5 linked regions of the Canis lupus familiaris genome follow. The protein of the gene in region 4 interacts with the protein of the main gene of each other region in a pairwise test. Links are inferred from orthologs where the notes say so. Each region holds a gene or a part of one and is shown on either strand. Other genes may lie near its edges.

Region 1 (4,269 bases), on a different chromosome or scaffold from region 4:
CGATCCCGTGCCCCAAATGCTTGAAACTCAAGTCCAGAAAAGATTCACCACGGGGCGGGACAGAGCCTCCCATCTAGCCACACTTACTCAGATACTCAGGGATCAGCTCTTCGCAGTTATCCATAATGAAAACTCTGCGAACGTACAGCTTAATATTGTTCTTTTTCTTTCTGTTCTCGAATAGGTCAAAGGGAGCACGTCTTGGCACAAAGAGAAGGGCTCTGAACTCCAGCTGTCCTTCAACTGAAAAATGCTGTAAAAATATACACGGGAGGTCATCATCAAGGGACACTGCAACCAACCGCCCCTTGACGGCTACCTTGCCTGACCCCCCACAGGCTCTGTCCCAGAACTTCCAGCACTTTCAGGGACTGGAATGACCAAGCCCTTGGCAGCACCCGCACCCCAACCACCTCAGGCAACCTGGAGGGTAGACTAGGTCTAAAGCACTGGGTGCTCACCTTCACTGCCAAGTGATCTTCCCAGTCATTGGTCAAGCTCTTGTAAAATTCCCCATATTCTTCGTTGGTGATGTCGTCAGGGTTCCTGGTCCAAATAGGCTTGGTTTTGTTCAGCTCTTCCTGGTCAATGTACTTCTCCTTGATCTTCTTCTTTTTCTTCTTGTCTCCATCCTTCTTTTCCTCCTCCTCCTCATCCGAACCAACATCTTCTATTTCAGGTTTGTCATCAGACTCTTTCTCTTCCTTTTCTTTTTCTTCCTCTTTCTCCTCCTTTTCTTCAGCCTCATCGTCACTGACTTCTTTATCACGTTCCTTCTCCACCTTCAAAAGAAAACGCAAAAATCGCATCACCTCTGCATCCTGGAGCTGAAGAACACGCTCTGAATGCAGCGTGGGCACTTACACCAAAGCCCAAAATACCGAAGTAACAAGTATTTAGCAGCCAACATTTAATGTCTCTAAACCACCGTGTGTACATTGACAGAATATTTCTCACTAATCAAGTCAATGCCAAGTTTGAATCTTTCATCCACAGGTCTAATAAGTAATAATTTCAATTCACTAGTTTCAGACTCTACTACACCCCATGTGGACACTCACAAAGAGAGTAATGGGGTAGCCAATGAACTGAGAATGTTTCTTCACAATCTCCTTTATCCTCCTCTCCTCCAGATACTCAGTCTGGTCTTCCTTCAGATGCAGGATAACCTTTGTTCCACGACCCATAGGTTCACCTGTAAAGGGGTAAACGGACTCAATTTCAATCTGAGTGAGCAAATTCAACGTATCTGAGATTAAAAAAAAAAAAAAAACTACAAACTCCACAATCCCGCTCTCCACACACCACATGCAACAATTTCAGAGCAACTTTACCACGTGGGGTTTAGTTATACCGATGTAGATACCAGAGCAGTTCACCTCCTGACCCGACTGCAGAAACCAGAGGCTCCTTGCTACAGTCACGTGCTACGTGCCACCACCCAGCTCACTCCAGGACAGGACGGAGCAAACACGTTTTTGCCAATCCCACAGCATCTCCAGCCCCCCTCCTCCCCGCCCCCACCACCGAGTGACCCGGGAAGCCGTTCTGAAGCGCACCTGTATCCGTCCTAACCGTGAACGACCCTCCAGCCGAAGACTCCCAGGCATACTGCTCGTCGTCGTTATGCTTGGTGATCACCGTCACTTTCTCAGCCACCAGGTAGGCAGAATAAAACCCGACGCCAAACTGGCCAATCATGGAAATATCTGCGCCAGCCTGCAAGGCCTCCATGAACGCCTTGGTCCCCGACTTGGCGATGGTACCCAGGTTATTGATCAGGTCGGCCTTCGTCATGCCAATGCCGGTGTCCACGATGGTCAGGGTTCGATCTTGCTTGTTCGGAATGAGGTTAATGTGCAGCTCCTTCCCAGAATCTAGCTTACTGGGATCGGTCAAGCTCTCGTATCTGATTTTGTCCAAAGCCTATTAAGCAAGCGGCGAGCGGTTGAGTCGGGCGCTCCCGGAGGGGGAGGGGGGGAGGAGGGAGGGGGAGGAAGGGAGGAAGGGAGGAGAGGAGGGCTCCGCCGCAGGCCGCGACCCCCGCTCCCAGGCAGCCCCACTTACGTCGGACGAGTTGGAAATCAGCTCCCGGAGGAAGATCTCCTTGTTCGAGTAGAACGTGTTGATGATGAGGGACATCAACTGGGCGATCTCCGCCTGGAAGGCGAACGTCTCCACCTCCTCCTCCTCCATCGGCTGATCCTGGGTCTGGGTTTCCTCCGGCATCTACAAGGGCCGCGGGGCCGGTTAGGCGCCCCCGTCCCCGTGCCCCCGCCCCCGCCGGGCCCGAGCCGGGGGCCGCCGACAAAGGATGACCTCATTTCCAGCTGCGACAACGAGGGCCGTGCGCACGCCGCCGCCGGGCGCCGCAGGCCCGCGGGGACCCCCCGCCCAGCGCCCCCCCCCCGCCCCCGGCGCCCCCGGAGCTGCGGCCCGGCCGCCCGGGGTCCCGTCCGCGGGGGTCGGGGTCGGGGTCGGGGCCGCAGTAGGCCCGAGGCCTCCCCCGCCGAGCGCTCGGCCGCGCCGCGCCGTCCCCGCGGGGCCCGGAGGCTCCAGGAGGCCCACCCCGCGCCGCGGCCCCCGACCCCGCGGGGCCCGACCCCCGGCGCCCTCCGGGGACCCCCCGGACCGCCCCCTCACCTCGGCTACAGGACCGCACGGGCTCCGCGACGACGCAGCACCAGGACGCAGAAGCAACTGGCGCGCCGCCCCCGCGCTTCCCTTATATAGACGCGGGCCCGCCCGGCGCGCGGAGCCTTTTCCAGAAGCCTCCCGAACCTTCCGGAAGAACCCTCCCCAACCGCCGCCGCGGCCGCGCGCCTGCGCCTGCGCCCTGGCCGCGGCCCCGCCCCTCTCCCGGCCGCGCGCGGGCTCGCCCCGAGCGCCCCACCCCCGACGCCGCCCCGCGCGTCCCCGCGCCGGCCTCAGTGCGCAGGCGCAGCCCGGAACTCTCGCGAAGGTCTCGCGCCTTCCGGGGCCGCCGTCTGCAGCGCGGCTCGCGCCGGGGCCCTGCCCCCACCCCGGCCCTGCGCCGCCAGCGAGGCGCGCGGGCGCTCTGGAGCCTCCCAGGCCCGCCCTCGCTGCTTCCGCCGCGGGAGCGCGGTGCTCCCAGACCGTGTCCCCCACTAGTGTGCACGCTTCGGGGCCCCGCGCGCACGGCCGCCCCAGCACAGTCGGGGGCTGCCCCGGGGAGGGGCAGCGCTGGGAGGGCGGATCCAGGGGCACAGTCGGGGGCTGCACCCGGGGCAGGTGCGGGGCTGGGAGGGCGGATCCAGGGGCAGAGTCGGGGTCTGCCCCGGGGCAGGTGCGGGGCTGGAAGGGCGGATCCAGGGGTCACCGTCGGGGTCTGCACCCGGGGCCCCGGGGCAGGTGCTGGCTGGGAGGGCGGATCCAGGGGCAGAGTCGGGGTCTGCCCCGGGGCAGGTGCGGGGCTGGAAGGGCGGATCCAGGGGCACAGTCGGGGTCTGCCCCGGGGCAGGGGCAGCGCTGGGAGGGCGGATCCAGGGGTCACCGTCGGGGTCTGCACCCGGGGCCCCGGGGCAGGTGCTGGCTGGGAGGGCGGATCCAGGGGCACAGTCGGGGTCTGCCCCGGGACAGGTGCGGGGCTGGAAGGGCGGATCCAGGGGCACAGTCGGGGTCTGCACCCGGGGCCCCGGGGCAGGGGCAGCGCTGGGAGGGCGGATCCCGGGGCACAGTCGGGGTCTGCACCCAGGCCCCGGGGCAGGTGCTGGCTGGGAGGGGGGATCCAGGGGCTCGAGGAGCCGAGCGGGGTCGCCCGGCATCTGAACGCCCGGGCGGCGATCAGAGAGGCTCGGCGCTGCGACTGGGGGCTCAGGTGTAGGGCGCTCCATCTCTCTGGCCGGGGCAGCGATTCTGGGTTCAGGGCCCTGGAAGTGGGGCAACAGGTGCCTACAAGAGCCTCGTGATGCGGAGGCCCCGGCTCGCGGCCTGCTTCAGGGGTGCGGAGACGCCAGCCCCTGGCCGCGTGTGGGGCGGGGGCCGGACTGTGCGCAATCCCTGGTTTCTGCCTTGGCCTGGAGGGAGCCCCGGACCGTGGGGGGATGTTTGGACCAGGGGAGCCCCAGGGACCTCCAGGGGGCCGTCCTGAAGGCCGTACAAGGGGCATCCCTGCCTCCCTCCTTGGCCGCGGAATCTCCAGACCTGCAGGCCGCTGCTTGGATTTGGGGGCTGGTCCTTCTCTTAGGGCGCACCGTGGGCAAGGGAAAGTTCTGAAGTGGCCACACAGACCCCCAAGTTCTCCGAAGC
Region 2 (3,972 bases), about 1.2 Mb from region 4:
GCTGACTTAAGTCACAAGGCTTGTGAAATAAGCAAGTGAACGACCAGAAGGCTCCAGGCTAGAGGCCCACCATAGGCCTGACTGAGTTGGAGGATCTGAAGCCCTTCCCCCACCAGGAAGAGCACCCACAAATGCACAGAAGAGAGAGGTCGCAAAGAACAGCCAGAATGCAAAATTTTATTATTAACTGGTTTAAACAACAACAAAAAAGACGAGTAGATACACGTAGAAACATGGACAGCATCTCCCCCAGCAGCAGGCAGGGTGGGGAAGGCAGGCAGGAGGGTAGGCCTAAGGTATTCCCCTCTGCCCAGCAGAAGTAGAATCCCAGGGAAAGGGTCAGGTTCCCTCCATTCAGCTGCAAGCCCGGAGACTACCTCATTCAGGGGAGCCCAGGACAGCAGCTGAGGGCAGAGGCTGAGCAGCCAGGGGCCAGGCCTGGGGGAATGTGTAGAGAGAAGTCCTAGGCTGACATCACCAGGGGGGTGTCATGGGCTGCGGGTTCTGCAGATATGACATGACCACAGCAGAGATGGACAGCCTGAAAAGGGAAAGAGGTGTCAGTCCAGGCAGGCTTGGGTCCCCCTCTCCAACTACTCAGGAGTCCTCCGTCTCTAGGCCTAGACTCACATGAAGCTACTCATCATTTGTTTAGTGTCCTCAGAGCTCCGGGAGTTGGCAAAGCTGATGAAGGAGCAGTAGACGGCCACCCACGCGCACCACTTCAGCTGGGGAAAGGAAGGTGGATGGGGGTATTTGGTCAGTGACAGGCACACTAATGAGCCTCCAGAGGGGTTCCAACCCCAGGCACAGGTTCCAACCCACTGATTCCGCCGGATACAGCCTGGCCCTCATTCCCAAGAATCCCGTAGCCTACTCCAGGTACCCAGTTTCTCGTCCTACTCTCTTGGCCTGCGTCTCTGACCCCAGCACATAACCTCAGGCCTAAGACTGGCCTGTGACATAACTTGTGATGCTAAGAACCCCATCCTTTCTCCAGGAGGCCCCTCCAAATTGCTTTAAAACCTGGCCCCGCCTTCAAACTGACCTCTCGGGTACCCACCCCTACCTTCCTTCCCTCCCGCGCTCCGGCTTTCTCCGCCCAGCAGCACCTAAGCCCCGCCCCCGGCCAGGCCCAAGCCCCGCCCCCTAGCGCGGGCCCCGCCCGGTTCCGAATCCGCTGCCCCCACGGGCTTCGCTGTCAGGCGAAGCGATGCCGGAGGAAACCCGGTGCCGCCCACCTTGAGCATGAGGCCGCACATGCTGAAGATCATGCCGAGCAGGTTCATGTAGTCCGGCGTCGGGTCGTCCAAGGCCGGGTTACACTCGCTCGGCGGGGGCTTGTACCTGCGGCAGGCTCAAGGGTCAGAGGCACTCGAGTCCCGCCCCCGAAATGGACAAGCGCTTCCCTGGGCCTCGCCCCACAGCCCGAGCCCTGTTCCCATGACGTCGGGGTCCTCACCTGAGCACTTTGTTCGGCCTTCGCGGGTCCGACATGTTGTTAGTGGACATGGCAGGTCGGAGGTCGTGCCTCTTCCGCTGCGGGAGTTGCAGCTTCCGGCGCAGAAACGGAGGGTGGCTTTTGGAGTGACACCCTCGGTCTTCGAGCTTCCGTTCCTGGCGGCGGGGGCCAGGACTCCTCCAAGCCGGGGGACAGAATTAGAAGAGACCAAAAATGTTCCTTGAAAACAAGAAGTGGGGAAAGAAACCTGGGAGCTGGAATCAGACTTCGGTATTCCCAATATTATCCCGAAAAAGCCAAACCTTTGAACCGGAAGTGAGAAATAGGAAGTAGACTACGGAAGACAATAAGGTTACATCCAAGCGTGGGTGCCGAGGGTTCGGAAGCTCCGGGGCAAACCGATGTAAGGCGGCGACGAAGGGGTCCCGAAAACGATGGCTTTCCCTGAGCCAAAACCACGGGGCCCGGAGCTGCCGCAAAAACGGGTGAAGACCCTGGACTGCGGGCAGGGGGCAGTGCGAGCTGTACGATTTAATGGTGAGCTCGCTCTTCATTCCGGGTTCTCCTGCCTTCTGAGGTCCGCAGCCCTCTGATCCCTTCCTGCTGTTCCCCAGTGGATGGCAATTACTGTCTGACGTGCGGCAGCGACAAGACCCTGAAGCTGTGGAATCCGTTGCGAGGGACGCTGCTGAGGACGTACAGTGGCCACGGCTACGAGGTGCTGGACGCGGCCGGGTGAGCAGTTGGGGCGGTGGGTGGGCGGCCAGGCCGCGTGATCCGGTGCAGAGGTCGGGATCTGAGGTCAGCACTGACCTTCCTTCCTCTGTCCTCTAGCTCGTTTGACAACAGTAGTCTCTGCTCCGGCGGCGGGGACAAGGCGGTGGTGCTGTGGGATGTGGCATCGGGGCAGGTCGTTCGCAAATTCCGGGGCCACGCGGGGGTGAGTACAAACAAGAAGAGCCCTCATTAGAGCCTTGATGTCAGAGAAGGCCCGCATTATCGTGTAGGTGATGACAAAGACTCCTTCCACCCCCACCTATTACAGAGTGAGGATCCTTTCCCAGTGGCCCAGCATGCAATTTCCCCAAAACCTTTCACCTCCCCACCCCCCCTCTTTTTTTTTTTTTTTTTATTTGAGAGAGAACATGAGCAAGGGGGAACAACAGAGGTAAAGGGAGAAGCAGGCTCCCCACTGAGCAGGGAGCCCAACAGGGGACTCGATCCCAGAACCCTGAGAACCCAGAACCTGAGCCAGGACCCTAGAAAGTGAGCCGAAGGCAGACACTTAACCAACTGAGCCACCCAGGCACCCCTCCTTTGCCCTTGCTTTATTTATTTATTTATTTTTTAAGTTTTGGCATTTTTATATCCAACGCCTCCCCCACCCCCCCATTCCCTTGCTTTAACTTGCATCAGGAACCCTGCCTTAATCTCAGTTTTCCAAAGTCCAGCTTCCTCTGAGTGGCAATTCCTGTTTCTCAGAAGGTGAACACGGTCCAGTTTAATGAAGAGGCTACGGTCATCCTGTCTGGTGAGTCTGGGGCCTAGGCAGGGTACTGCCCCTGCTGCCCAAACCTGACTTCTACCTCATGCTGGTCCTCACAGGCTCTATTGATTCCAGCATACGATGCTGGGACTGCCGATCTCGGAGGCCTGAGCCGGTGCAGACACTGGACGAAGCCAGGGATGGCATATCCAGTGTGAAAGTGTCAGACCATGAGGTCCTGTCAGGGTGAGTGGAGCCAGGACCTCACCCCTCTGCTGGTGCCCCCGGGGATCACTGCTGCCTCTCTACTCAGATTAAAAGCAACTCTTCGGGATCCCTGGGTGGCGCAGCGGTTTGGCGCCTGCCTTTGGCCCAGGGCGCGATCCTGGAGACCCAGGATCGAATCCCACATCGGGCTCCCGGTGCATGGAGCCTGCTTCTCCCTCTGCCTGTGTCTCTGCCCCTCTCTCTTTCTCTCTCTGTGACTATCATAAATAAATAAAAATTAAAAAAAAAAATAAAAAAAAAAAAATAAAAGCAACTCTTCTCACCTTAGCTTACAAGGCCCTGCACAGTCTGGTCTCTGCCGATCTTTTAGCTTTTATTCAATCCAGGTCTCATTTCTCTTAATATACTAATCATGCTCTCATCTCAGGACCTTTGCAATTGCTCTTCCTCTACCTGGACTCCCTTTCTACTGAAAGTGTTTTTGAGCATCTCTTGCATACCACTTTTTTAGTCAGTGAACACTCAGCAGTGGATAAAATAGGAAAAAAATCTCTGCCCACATAGGGTTAATATTCTGGTTGCAAGAGGCAAATAATTAAAATTCCCAAAAAAGGCTGCCCTTTTGCTGCCACAATGCAAAGGAGTGCCATTCCCACTAGTTTGGGCTGCCCAGTCTATTGCCTCATCTGTTCCCACACATCTCCTCCTGGACCACACGTGTTTGTCTCCTTATCAAGTCCCAGTTTAGAGGTCACCTCCTTGGGGTGACCTTCGTAGATGACTCTCAGTCAGCAAG
Region 3 (4,275 bases), on a different chromosome or scaffold from region 4:
TTTTTGAGAGAGAGAGAAGTGCACACAGGGGAGGGGCAGAGGGAGAATCTTAAGCAGACTCCACAACTCAGTGAGGAGCCCAAATCAGGGTTTGATCTCGAGATCCTGAGATTATGACCTCAGCTACGGTCAAGAATAGGATGCGTAACTGACTGAGCCACCTGGTGTCACAAAATACTATAATTTTTACAACTTTGAAATGTACTCATTCACTTTCAGGAATTTATTCTTAGCCAAGAATTAAATACGTGAATTTGATGATAAGAAAGCTCATCACTTTTATAGCTTGAAAATAAATTATGATGCAATACAACTATTTAAATTATGATAGGACAACTAATTTAAAAATATTTAATAAAATATTCATAATAAGCATAATATACCGTCAGCTTTAAGTGATATTACCCATATTTTTGGATAAAATATATATTCACATATGTAATACATACTTATGCACAAAAAAAGTCCAGTAATACACAAACAAAAATACCAACAATGATCTTTGACCAATGGCATTATGGTCAATTTTTTTATTTTCTTTCAGATTTCAAAAAACAAAATTATTTTTAAAAAAGTTTTCTATATATTCATGAAAAATGAATACAAACACAGTGAATAAAAAAACAAACATTAGAAGCTTCCACATACGCCTCAAATCCTGCTGTCTGGAAACTGTCCTGAGCACTAACCTGGTACGTCCAGAAGGCCAGTGCTCGGGAGCTGATGTCCAACACGATCTCCGGTCGGAGTCCAGCCAGCACCATGGCTTTGTACTCCTCTGAGGGACTGAGTTCCGTGCGGACAATGTCCAGCTTTCCAGAAAGGGTACTGTTGCAGGCAGGGCAGATAGCTGGGGAACGACTGAACTCTCCACTGCCGTGCTGATCGCAGAAGATGTGGGAGCAGGCAGTGACCCAGGCATAGCCAGAGAGTTTGAGTCGACACCTGCGGTAGTTACACAGCAGCATGTCTTCACACAGAGACATAGCAGAAAGTCTCCCGAAGCTGAAAGGAAACCTAACAAGGGGTAAATATGAAGGTCAAAAGAATCAAATGTCAGTGAAAATGAAATAGAGCATGTTTTCATTTTATTATAAAATATTGTACTTTGTTGTTTGTATTTATTATAATCAATATATCATATACATTTTACTCAGTCATATTAACTGTGCTCCTTTGTGTAAACCTCTAGAAAGCCCATGAAAAAAATTTTTAGAGACAAATTTTTTTTAAGATTTTATTTATTTATTTATTCATGAGAGACACAGAGAGAGAGAGATAGAGAGGCAGAGAGAAGCAAGTTCCCTACAGGGAGCCCGACGGGGGACTTGATCCCAGGACCCCGGGGTCATGACCTGGGCCGAAGGCAGGCGCTAAACCACTGAGCCACTCAGGTGTCCCTTAGAAACAAATTAAAGACACAAGTAGTCCAAATCTTATTAAAGCCAAAAATAATATGTATATGTTAAATAAACTTTAGGAACATTTTCAAAATACAAATAATAATTAGTGTCTTTTGCCATTCCTCAACACCTAAACAAAAAAGCCAAATTTATCACCCATCTGTAGTTTGCTAGAATATTTTACTATCACTTCTCACACTTGGCAGATAGAAGTCCAGGTACCAATTTCAGCCATTCTTTTTTCTTTTTTTAAAAAGGTTTTATTTATTAATTCATGACGGAGAGAGAGGGAGGGAGAGACAGAGACAGAGACAGAGAGACAGGCAGAGGGAGAGAAGCAGGCTCCACGCAGGGAGCCCGATGGGGTACTCGATCCCAGGACCCCGGGGGTCATGCCCTGGGCTGGAGGCAGATGCTCAGCCACTGAGCCACCCAGGCGCCCCAATTTTCAGCCATTCTTTAGTGCAAAGTGTTTTTTAAGTTGCACTTTTAGGTTTTTCATATCCTCAGATTGTTTACCTGTGTTGCCTTACCTAAAAAAGAGTAGTGATCTGATAGCATTTAGTGGAAAATAACCAGTCCAAGCAAATAACCATTTATATAAAAGCTGATTCATTTTTACCACCAAATAACTCACCTATTAATATAAATACTATTGAATATTATACTTTCCGGGGGGAAAAAAAAAGTTGTTAGAACTAAAACTCTTACACAAATAAATACCCTTAAGTTACTTTTCAATGTAACGTCCCCACTCCCTGGCTTTACCGGCCCAGGCTGGACAGCGACATCCTGGATGTACCAAAATCATGCATTATATGAGAAAATTGCGACGCCCCGACTATACGCCAAGGAAAATGCTCCCACCAAACACACCTCTTAACCAACGGATTCCGTCAAGAACGTTACTTTGATGAAAGAAAGAAAAAGAGAAGAGAAAAAAGAAAAGATGCCGAGGTCACAGGGTCGAGGGCACTCCGACACCTGACCCCGCAGGGACTGGCTGAGTTGTCTCCACGGCTGGGCGGCCCCGCGGCCTGAGTGTCAGGCCCGGTTCCCCCCGCGGGGTAAGGGGCACAGGCAGCCGGGAGGGTCGGGCCCGGCCGGACCGGGAGGAGGACCGGGAAGGGGGTCGGGAGGGGCGCCGGGAGGGAGGCGCGGCCCGTCCAGCGGCGCCGCGTGCAGGCGAGGGAAGGCGAAGGGCGGGGGCGTCGCGCCCGCCGACCAGCCCGGGCTTCCGCCTCCCCGTGGCCCCTACGGCAACACCCCGACACCGCCGATTCCAGCCGCGCGTCTGACCTGAGGCCCAGGAAAAGCGCGGGAACACGCCGTCGTGTCCACAGCCCTAGGCGCCGAGCCCTCGCCGTCCCGCCTCTGCTCCGCCAGCCGCGCATGCGCAGTCCCGCCCCTCCACCGGCGCCGGCACGGGCTTCCGGCCGCTCAGCATGCTGGGCCCGTGGGGCTGTGGCCCACACGCAGGCGCACGTGCCCCACACATGCGCGTCTCCGGCGCTGAGGCGCGGGTCCCGCTGCGCGGTCGAGGGGTCGCGGCGGGAAGGCCGTGGTGCTGCGCTCGCGAGCTTGCTCCTTCCCGGCACCGAGGCCCCGTCGGCAGGGCCGGTGCGGCGCGGAGGTCGGTGCCCGGGCGGCGCAGGGCTTGTCCCGGGACGGCGCGCGCTGGTCAGTGGCTGGTGCAGAAGCGCGGAGACGCGAGGTGCCGCCCTGGGGAGACCCGGGCTCCACCGCGGTGCTGTGCCGCCCGCGCCAGGGACACCCGTGAGCACCTGCGCAGGACACGGAACTGCTCCTTGCTTCACCTGTGTCGGAACGTGCCCAGCGGCGCTGCGAGGCGGAGGAGGACCGCGTCCGCCTGCCCCACAGCTGCCAGCGCTCCCGACGCCTGCCCCACACCTGCCTGAGGCCTGCCCCACACCTGCCCGGCACCTGCCCGACACCTGCCCGTGCTCCCAACACCTGCCCGACACCCGCCCGAGGCCTCCGGACACCTGCCGAGGCCTGCCCCACACCTACCCAAGGCCTCCTGACATCTGCCCGAGGCCTGCCCCACACCTGCCTGACTCCTTCCCCACACCTGCCCGCCACGTGTTGCACATCTGCCCGACACCTGCCCCACACCTGCCCGACACCCGCCCGACGCCTGCCCCACACCTGCCCACACTCCCAACACCTGCCCGAGGCCTGCTCAACACCTGCCCGACACCTGCCCGCACTCCCGGGACCTACTTAGAATCGTTCAGAGGTTTGCCCGCGTCTTACCCTCGTGCTGTTACCTGCTGCTCTCTGTGCAAACTGCGTGATTTCCTGTGCAATCCATAGGAGTCTGTGAGAATCGATATAGGTTCTAACAGATCAGTAGAGAAACTATATTGATCAGGAGCCGAGGGTTTGAGGGGTCCCAGGAATACAGGCCTTACTGCGGGCTTCATCACGGCCACGGGCGACCCCACCGTGAAAGACGGACATGGCCCAACAGAGCAGCACACGACGAGCACCACCGCCCCGCAGACCCCCGTCCTGAGTCCTGAGCTCTAATCCTGACACCAGGGCCCCGCATCCCCCCTGCATCCTGAGCTCTAATGCTGACCCATGCTTCACACACACCCGTCCTAAGTAAACAGCTTCCTGCTAGTTTTCTTCTGCTTGCAGAGGCTCCCTAGTAGCTAGAGTCCTCCTGGCCTTTGCAGACAGTCCTTAAAACCTCCCGGGGAGTTTACCGTGGTCCCAACTGGGCTCAACAGAAGTAAAGCTCCGTGTGTGAACCCGCAACAGCGCCGTTGGCCGTCCGAGCCTTCGTGCAGTTTCTGATTGTGACAGTGCCAGACGTAGTACAACAAAAGGGCACGAGCTCATT
Region 4 (3,500 bases):
GCGGTTTGTTCCATCAAAGCCCCCGACGGCATAGAGCAAACGGTTGAGGACAGCCACTCCCACCCCGATCCTTCGAGTCAGCATGGGAGCCACCAAGTGCCACTCATCCCGTTCTGGCTCATACCTGCAAGGGCATAGTAACGGTAACAATGGCAATCACAGCTGACCTGTGTGGAACACTTACTATGACCCAATATGCTGCTAATTCTTTATGCACCTGAACTCTTTACTCCTCAGAGCTTTTCTCTGAGGAAACAGGTTCACAGCCATCATCTGCTCAAGGTTACACACGCACCTGTTGGACGCTGGTGGTGGCTCCACCATATAGCACTGCCAGGCCCTGTGCTGTGTTGTATGTTAGCTCAGCAAAACCCACTTTGACCATTGGGCAGGTAGTCCTTACTATCATCTCCCACTTCCCCCATCATCTTTAGATAACAAGATAGAAGCACGGAGGGATGAAATGGCAAGACCAGGGTCACCAAGGAGCTGGAGGTTTGACCCAGCCTTCTAGGACACAAGAATCTGGGCAGCCCGGTGGCGCAGCGGTGTAGCACCGCCTGAAGCCCGGGGTGTGATCCTGGAGACCCGGGATCGAGTCCACGTCAGGCTCCCTGCCTGGAGCCTGCTTCTCCCTCTCCCTCTGCCTGTGTCTCTGCCTCTCTCTCTCTGTGTGTCTCTCATGAATAAATAAATAAATAATTCTTAAAAAAAAAAAAAAAAAAAAAAGACACAAGAATCTTAATTCTAACAACTAGGCTGCCACCCAGGATGGTTTTCGTACAAGTGTGCTGTTTGGTTATAATTCCCATTCCCCAGCCTCGCTCCAAACCCACCAGTACCAGATCTCCAGCAGTGGGCTAGGGAGTTTAACAAGTTCTCCAGCTGAGAACTGTATCCTGGATCAAGCTTCTGAAAGAGGAGAAGGCAGAGAGGACTGTCTGGCAAAAGTCAAAAGCCAAAATTGCTTAGGCTCTAAACACAGGGTCATCATGCAGTTCTGCATGTTGTACACTGCACAAGAGTCCCACATCCAAGGGGGCACCTTCCACACAGAAGACCTCATACATCAGTTTATTACAGCAATTTTGGGGCAGATGGCAGTGAGGTGTCATGTCTTAATAAAATTAGCATTTTATAACAACTTCCAACTGATAGAACTCTTTCCAAATCTGCAGAAGTTGTATGGGTTTGGGACAGCCCTGTAAGCAATTCCCAGGCCCAGACACATCATCCAAGGTCACTGACCATAAATCCCCCATGAATTCAGCTTCACCTGAGGCTTCCCCTCCCTAAAGCCAGGACAGAGACAAGCACTCAACAACAGGGGGAATCCCCAAATTCCAATGGCTTGGGGCCTGTCAGCAATGGGAACCTCCGAGCCCATCCCTCCAGGCCCTGCCACTCACCTCTCCACACTGTTGTGGTGGATGCAGCCGTGGGAGCCACCGACAGCATAGATGTGCCCATCAATGACCCCAACCCCAATCCGATTGCGTGGTACACTCATGGAGGCACAGGGCGACCACTGGTTGGTCATGGGGTTATAGCAGTCCAGGGCGCTGGAGTCGGTGTTGCCGTCTGGCGAGTTGTTCCGGCCGCCCACAGCATACAGCAGCCCACCCACTACGCAGCCCGCCAGGCCACTACGAGGCACCTGCAGGTCTGCCAATCGGAGCCAAGTGCCATCACTGGGGTTGTAGGCCTCTAGGTAGCTGAGTGACTGGCGGAAGTAGCCACCAGCGGTGTAGATGAGCCGGCCCACTTTGGGCGCCCGACAGGGCATCACCTGCGTGGGCTTATGCAAGGTCAGCTCCTGGAAGATCTTGACCAGGTAGTCCTTGCAGCGGGAGTCCGACTGCAAGATCTCACACTTCTGCAGCTGCATCTGCAGGAAGTGGGGTGTGAGCGAGTGACATCGCACAGCCCGGAGCAATGCCTGGACATAGAAGCGCCGCTGCTCACAATCATACTTGACCCAGTTGATACAGGCGTGGAAGACCTCGGACTCGCAGCGCACATTCAGATCGTCTCGGCTGATGAGAGTCACCAGCTGGCAATGGGACAAGTTGAAGAACTCCTCTTGCTTGGCCACCTGCAGAGGGCATTACTGTGACAGGCTGACTCCCCTCAACGGCGGTATGATCACGGCCAAGTCACTCAACCTGCCTCTGACAATCTCAGTTTCCTATTTTGTAAAACGAGGATTCGAATAGTGTGAACTTCATAGGTTGTGAAGAAGATTAAATGAGTTAATGCTACAGGCATATGGTACCTAAGTACTCAGGTAGATGGGTGAAGGCACTACTATGTACCTTTTTGTATCATTGTGTGCTTGAACTACAAGATTGTTACCTCTATTTTCAACAAAATTACTTTTTCAAAAGGGTAGATGGACCAAAAAGGAAAAAGTAATGGGGACAGAATATTCTAGAAAAAGTGTAGGCTCTAAAGAAAGAAGGCTGAGCTGCAACTTGGCCCACTACTTTCTAACTAGGTGATCTTGGGCAAATATCTCTAACACTCCATGCCTTGTTTTTCCTCCTCTGTAAGAGCAATTGTATTAGTAGCTACCTCAGAGCCGGGGCTACTCCTCGGGTGTACAGGGTCCTGGGCAAATATTTCTTGTCAGGCACTAGTCTATATAAATAACTCAATTACCAATATTGGTAGGTCACAAATGTCCTGGTACCTCAAGCCCACACGGTCCCTTTAAAGAAACACTGCAGGCCTGTGGGAAAGCCCTGCTCACAGACCACCCTCACCTTCCAGGAAGCCATGGGCCTTAGGACAAACGCCAGCGCTCCTCAGGGCATCTGGTCGACCCCAATGTGGGGGAGAGGGAAGGAGAACATCCACCCCTTAAGAAAAGAGATGGAAACCAGGGCAGTATCTACCCTAGCTGATCCCAGCCACTGGAAGAGGACTTTTAGAATTTCCAGGAAGGCACACTAAAGCACAGAACTCCCTAAAGCGTGGGGCCTGGGGTACAGCCCTGTTGGGCCAGGCCTAAGGGTGGTACTTCCTCAAAGGATAGTGGGGGAAAATCCAATGATTTAAAGAATGGAAATCACTTAGAACAGGGGGTGGCCCACAGCAAATGTTCAACAAACACTTATTATTATCATCATCCCAGGGGCACAACCTCTAGTAGCTGCTACCCAAGAATTTGGGCTCATCATTGTGATTTACAAGGCATCTGTTATTTTCTGCTCACAACTTCCTCCACTTAAAACCGAAAATGAAACCAAGTACAGGGTAAGGACAACACAGCATGGACCACAGGAAACATGTCTAAGGGTCACATTTGAGATAGGAAGCATGTCATGGGTGTTCAATAAATATTTGCAGACTGTCTGAAATATTAGGCCCCCAATAGCGTACCCTAAGGTTGAGCTGCACCCTGTCCCCAGCCCTGACCCCAGAGAAGTCGGGGATCCCAGACATAGACCCATGAAGTTCTCACTTTCCTCAGCTGTTTCCCACAGTCACCCCAGATG
Region 5 (4,278 bases), on a different chromosome or scaffold from region 4:
TTGCAGGTAGTACAAAAATAGGCCACTTGCTGGATATGGGCGGTCAGTCTTGCTGACCCCTTGACAAAAATCAGCTTTTTCTCAATTTTGCTCTGAAAAGGAAGAGATTGGGTAGTCACTTAAAGATCTGGGGTGTGTGGAAATTTTTTTCTTTTAAAACTGAAGACAGATGAAACCAATGAAAATATCTCAAAACAAAGAAGTCAGAAATACCAGAGAAGAACTAGGGTAAAGTCCTTAGGAAGGCTAGAGTGATGGGGATTCAAAGAGATCGAACAATTTGCCTCTAAGAAGAGCAATTCCTCCATTCTAACTAAAAGGGACAAATTAAATCGGAAGGTTTAATTCACATACAACTCACATACAACTGAGGTGAAATGTCATCAGTGTAGTCTTAAAGGAGACAACCTAAAATCAGTAGCTTAGGCAGGGCTTGCTTCTTCATCAAATTAAGGTGACATAGATTCTTAGTTACTTCTATGTTTCAGGCTAAGTAATCTGAGTATAGCCCTGGGTGATTTAGCCCTGAAGATGATAAAAATATGATTAATAGAATTTAAAAAATAAAGCCCCTTGAAACAGAAAATATATATATGACTCAGGAATTAAAAAAAAATTACTGTAATTTTTTTGGGAACTAGTTTTGGAAGGTCAAATGAGGAGCCAGGGAGAAACATCCTATAACACAGAAAAATTAGAAGTGAGAATCCTAAGTAGAGAAAAAGATGGGGGGAAAAAAAGAATAGATGGAGAACAAGTATTCATTCAACAAGTATTCAGTAATTTCTTGAGCTAAGAAAAAACAGTGAGTGTTCAGATAGAAATGGCTAACTTACAGGCAGGATTTTAACAAAGACAATTGAAGACAGTAAGACATTAAAAAACTTTATTGGGTACTCTATTAGTAGTATTTTTTTTTTTTTTTAAGTTTAGTTCCCAGGCTGGATTCAATTTCATTTTATCTTAAAATAATGATGGTTTTAAACTCTAGGCAGCTATAGAAAATATATCATGTTAAAAATATATAGTGGATTTCTCTCCAATAATAAACATCATCATAGTTATGTAAAATTCCAACTTGTTCCACCTGGCTACACGAACTGCAAAAATCACTTCAAAGGGAGTTGATAGAGATTGTTTTGTGAAGCCAGATCAGATTTCTAACATCAAAGTATTTAGCCCACTCAAAATGTGGTAGGGAAGAGTGGACTTTCTTTCAACTTATTATTTGCTTCCTTCCGATTGAGAATCACTGTATTTGAAATTGCAGTGTTTTACACCTCTTTGTATAGCGCTGAAAAATGAACACCAAGATGCCAGAAAGTACGGGTCCAAGAAAGCCTGCAAAACTCAAAATGGTTTTCAACAATTAAATACCTTTCAGTTGTTCCACTACATTATTTAGGTATTTCATGAGCTCAGGATCAGTTGTTACAAGCAAGGTGAGTCCGTATTTCTGCACTCTGGTAAAGGTTTCAGATGGATATATGCCACGCTGATATAAAATGCTGTTGATGCCAAATGCTGAAAACAAAAGGAATGTTAAAGTCATTTTCACTTTGCAACTCTGGAAAATAAAACCTATTTAGATGTGGCTGCGGTTTCATTCCTGGTATCAAACTGAAAAAGCCTAAACGTGCATTTGTGGGTGTCTTGCTGAAAGCAGAGTAAGTGAAAAGTGCCACTGAAAATCCTTAAAAATGTTGCTTCTAAGTAAAAAGAACACGATACCTGCGTTTATGCGGAACTAAAAATGCCAAACTGCATTAACCTAGTGTCAAAGTAGAACTACAAGCTCACGGTAATGCAAGCCCCAATTCAGGTTATGTGATCACAGGGTGTCGAAATAGGCTTTTGCGTCTGGATTAGCAACTGATTAACCGGTCCAATGTTCCAAAGCAAGCCTCTCCCTCACTTTTCCCTCCTCTTCTCCTACCAGATTCCATCAGAGGGTACAAACATGGCCTGGTCCAGGACAGAGTTTCCTAAATCTAGTCCATCGCCGTCAGTACCGGGGTCAAAGCTTGGTGGAAGGGCTATTCAAGATATACTGGGGCCCCACCCCGCTCGGGGTGGGCGTAGGCGTGGGGCTGGGGCCGGGCTGGGAAGCGTGTCGGATCCGCCGTTTAAAGCAAGGCTGCTGGGATCCCTGGTGGCGCAGCGGTTTAGCGCCTGCCTTTGGCCCAGGGCGCGATCCTGGAGACCCGGGATCGAATCCCACGTCGGGCTCCCGGTCCACATCGGGCTCCCGGTGCATGGAGCCTGCTTCTCCTTCTGCCTGTGTTTCTGCCTCTCTCTCTCTCTCTCTATCATAAATTAATTAATTAATTAATTAAAAAAATTTAAAAAAAAATAAAGCAAGGCTGCTGGTGGAGGGGCCGCAGCGCCAGGCGGGCCTCGGCAGCACCTGGGCTTCCTGCTCCACCAGGAGCGAGGCGCCCGGGGGTGGCGCCTGCATCCGCCTCCTCCTAGATTAGATTCTCCAGCCCGGCGGGCGCTGGAGCAAAGAGAGCCGACCCCGACCCCCGCCTCCGTGGCCGGGCCGGGCCTCCAGGGCGGCCTGGCCTCAGCTCTCCCCGCCCTCTGGCCTGCGCAAGGGGGACTTACAGAAGAACTCGGCCACGATTTCGGCGCTCCCGCGCAGGGTGATGCCTTGCTCCCGGGAGAGCTGCAGCGCCATGGCCAGGCCTAGGGACGAGGGAGCGCGCTGCTGCCCGGCGGACGGCGACGCCACAGCCTCCAACGGAAGTTCCCCGCCAGTCGTTTCAAAAGTAACGACGCAGCACGCCAGGGGCCCTCCGCGCAGGCGCGACGAGCCTCCCGGCAGGCCCAGCGCCAGTCTCCTCGCTCGCGGGAGGGGCGCCTCGCGCAGGCGCAGTGGGTAGGCGTGGTCAGGCACTTCCGGGTTGTCGGGCACGGAAGGGTCCCTACCGAGCACCTGTAATTGTGGTCGCCGGGTCGCAGCTGAGGCGAGACGACCGCAAAACCTGGCTTTGACGCCCGCTCCCGAGGCCTGCGGAGTGAGCAGCCCAGGATCCCGGTTCGTCAGTTTCAAAGCTATTTTCAGAGTGATGTGAACGCGCCAGTTGCATCTTAACGTGGCCCAGGGACCCCGCCCACTCCCTAGTGGGCGATTGAAACTTGCTTAGATACTCTGGGAGTCAGTCAAGAAACCGCGTGCGTGGCGGTCCAGCCACAGCTTGAGAAGGCCTGGTGACTGTGTGCGGGCGCAGCTGTTAAGGAACTGGGGGGCAGACCCGGTGGCTCGGCGGTTTGGCGCCGCCTTCTGCCAGGGCGTGATCCTGGAGACCCGGGATCAAGTCCCACGTCGGGCTCCCTGCGTGGAGCCTGCTTCTCCCTCTGCCTGTGTCTCTGCCTCTCTCTCTCTCTCTCTCTCTCCTCTCTGTGTATTCTCATGAATAAATTAATAAAATCTTACACACACACAAAAAAAAGAAATTGGGGGGGGCGGCCCTGGTGGCCCAGCAGTTGAGCGCTGCCTTCAGCCCGGGTGTGACCCTGGAGACCAGGGATGGAGTCCCTCCAGCCCTAATCCCTAAAGCCTAAACCCTAACCCTAACTCTAAATCCTGGACCTGGTAAATCTGGTCCCCATCTGGCCTCACCCAGTCCTGGTGACTTTGGTCCCCACCTGGGCCCCACCTGGACCTGACTGCTGTGGACTCCTTCGGGCCTCACCTGGAACTGGTGACTCTGATCCTATCTAGGCCTCACCCAGACCTGGTGACTCTGGTCCTCACCTGGGCATCATTGGGACCCGGTTACTCTGTTCCACACCTGAGCCTCACCTGGACATGATGACTCTGGAACCCCTCTGGGCCTCACCCTGACCTGGTGACTCTGGTCCTCAACTGGGCCTCACCTGGACCTAGTGAATATGCTCCCCACCAGGGCCTCATCTGGACCTGGTGACTCTGGTCCCTACCTGGGCATCATCGGGACATGGTTACTCTATTCCTCACTGGGACTCACCTGGACCTCGTAACTCTGGTCCTCACTTTGACCTCTTCTGTACCTGGTGACTCTGGCCCCACCTGGGCCTCAACGGAACTGGTGACTCTGATCTTCACCATGGCCTCACCTGGACCTGGTGAGTCTGGCTCCCACCAGGACCTCACCTGGACCTTGTGTCCCTTGTTTCCTTCTAGCCTCATCTGTACCTGGTGACTCCGGTCCCCATCTGGGCCTCACCTGGCCCTGGTGACACTGGTCCTCTGCTTGGCCTTACCTGGACCTGGTGACTGTGTTCCCCACCTGT

What was found.
Region 1: the proteins of KEAP1 (region 4) and HSP90AA1 interact in a two-hybrid assay, tested with the Homo sapiens proteins (2 studies listed by BioGRID). The link is inferred for Canis lupus familiaris from reciprocal best matches to the Homo sapiens genes KEAP1 and HSP90AA1.
Region 2: the proteins of KEAP1 (region 4) and WDR83 interact in binary tests that used the Homo sapiens proteins (3 or more experiments, as listed by UniProt). The two-hybrid records come from large-scale screens. The link is inferred for Canis lupus familiaris from reciprocal best matches to the Homo sapiens genes KEAP1 and WDR83.
Region 3: the proteins of KEAP1 (region 4) and CCNB1IP1 interact in binary tests that used the Homo sapiens proteins (3 or more experiments, as listed by UniProt). The two-hybrid records come from large-scale screens. The link is inferred for Canis lupus familiaris from reciprocal best matches to the Homo sapiens genes KEAP1 and CCNB1IP1.
Region 5: the proteins of KEAP1 (region 4) and MAD2L1 interact in binary tests that used the Homo sapiens proteins (3 or more experiments, as listed by UniProt). The two-hybrid records come from large-scale screens. The link is inferred for Canis lupus familiaris from reciprocal best matches to the Homo sapiens genes KEAP1 and MAD2L1.

The regions. Positions count from the first base shown.
Region 1 is NC_049229.1:70,501,558-70,505,826, forward strand, and holds the start of HSP90AA1 (heat shock protein HSP 90-alpha), read right to left. Parts: upstream 2,801-4,269; 5' UTR 2,644-2,800; intron 2,230-2,643; coding exon 2,068-2,229; intron 1,927-2,067; coding exon 1,560-1,926; intron 1,196-1,559; coding exon 1,062-1,195; intron 783-1,061; coding exon 462-782; intron 254-461; coding exon 88-253; intron 1-87. UniProt on the Homo sapiens protein: Molecular chaperone that promotes the maturation, structural maintenance and proper regulation of specific target proteins involved for instance in cell cycle control and signal transduction.
Region 2 is NC_049241.1:49,840,053-49,844,024, reverse strand, and holds the start of WDR83 (WD repeat domain-containing protein 83), read left to right. Parts: upstream 1-1,172; 5' UTR 1,173-1,241; coding exon of another isoform or gene 1,242-1,347; 5' UTR 1,348-1,462; coding exon of another isoform or gene 1,463-1,512; 5' UTR 1,513-1,896; coding exon 1,897-1,999; intron 2,000-2,076; coding exon 2,077-2,197; intron 2,198-2,296; coding exon 2,297-2,402; intron 2,403-2,944; coding exon 2,945-2,993; intron 2,994-3,067; coding exon 3,068-3,194; intron 3,195-3,972. Other genes in the region: WDR83OS (protein Asterix), read right to left, coding at 475-541, 631-728, 1,242-1,347, 1,463-1,512. UniProt on the Homo sapiens protein: Molecular scaffold protein for various multimeric protein complexes. Acts as a module in the assembly of a multicomponent scaffold for the ERK pathway, linking ERK responses to specific agonists.
Region 3 is NC_049236.1:17,803,861-17,808,135, forward strand, and holds the start of CCNB1IP1 (E3 ubiquitin-protein ligase CCNB1IP1), read right to left. Parts: upstream 2,801-4,275; 5' UTR 2,798-2,800; coding exon 2,703-2,797; intron 2,412-2,702; exon of another isoform or gene 2,280-2,411; intron 1,018-2,279; coding exon 690-1,017; intron 1-689. UniProt on the Homo sapiens protein: Ubiquitin E3 ligase that acts as a limiting factor for crossing-over during meiosis: required during zygonema to limit the colocalization of RNF212 with MutS-gamma-associated recombination sites and thereby establish early differentiation of crossover and non-crossover sites.
Region 4 is NC_049241.1:51,052,891-51,056,390, reverse strand, and holds part of KEAP1 (kelch-like ECH-associated protein 1), read right to left. Parts: intron 2,096-3,500; coding exon 1,410-2,095; intron 125-1,409; coding exon 1-124. UniProt on the Homo sapiens protein: Substrate-specific adapter of a BCR (BTB-CUL3-RBX1) E3 ubiquitin ligase complex that regulates the response to oxidative stress by targeting NFE2L2/NRF2 for ubiquitination.
Region 5 is NC_049239.1:56,410,676-56,414,953, reverse strand, and holds the start of MAD2L1 (mitotic spindle assembly checkpoint protein MAD2A), read right to left. Parts: upstream 2,801-4,278; 5' UTR 2,681-2,800; coding exon 2,608-2,680; intron 1,525-2,607; coding exon 1,378-1,524; intron 1-1,377. UniProt on the Homo sapiens protein: Component of the spindle-assembly checkpoint that prevents the onset of anaphase until all chromosomes are properly aligned at the metaphase plate.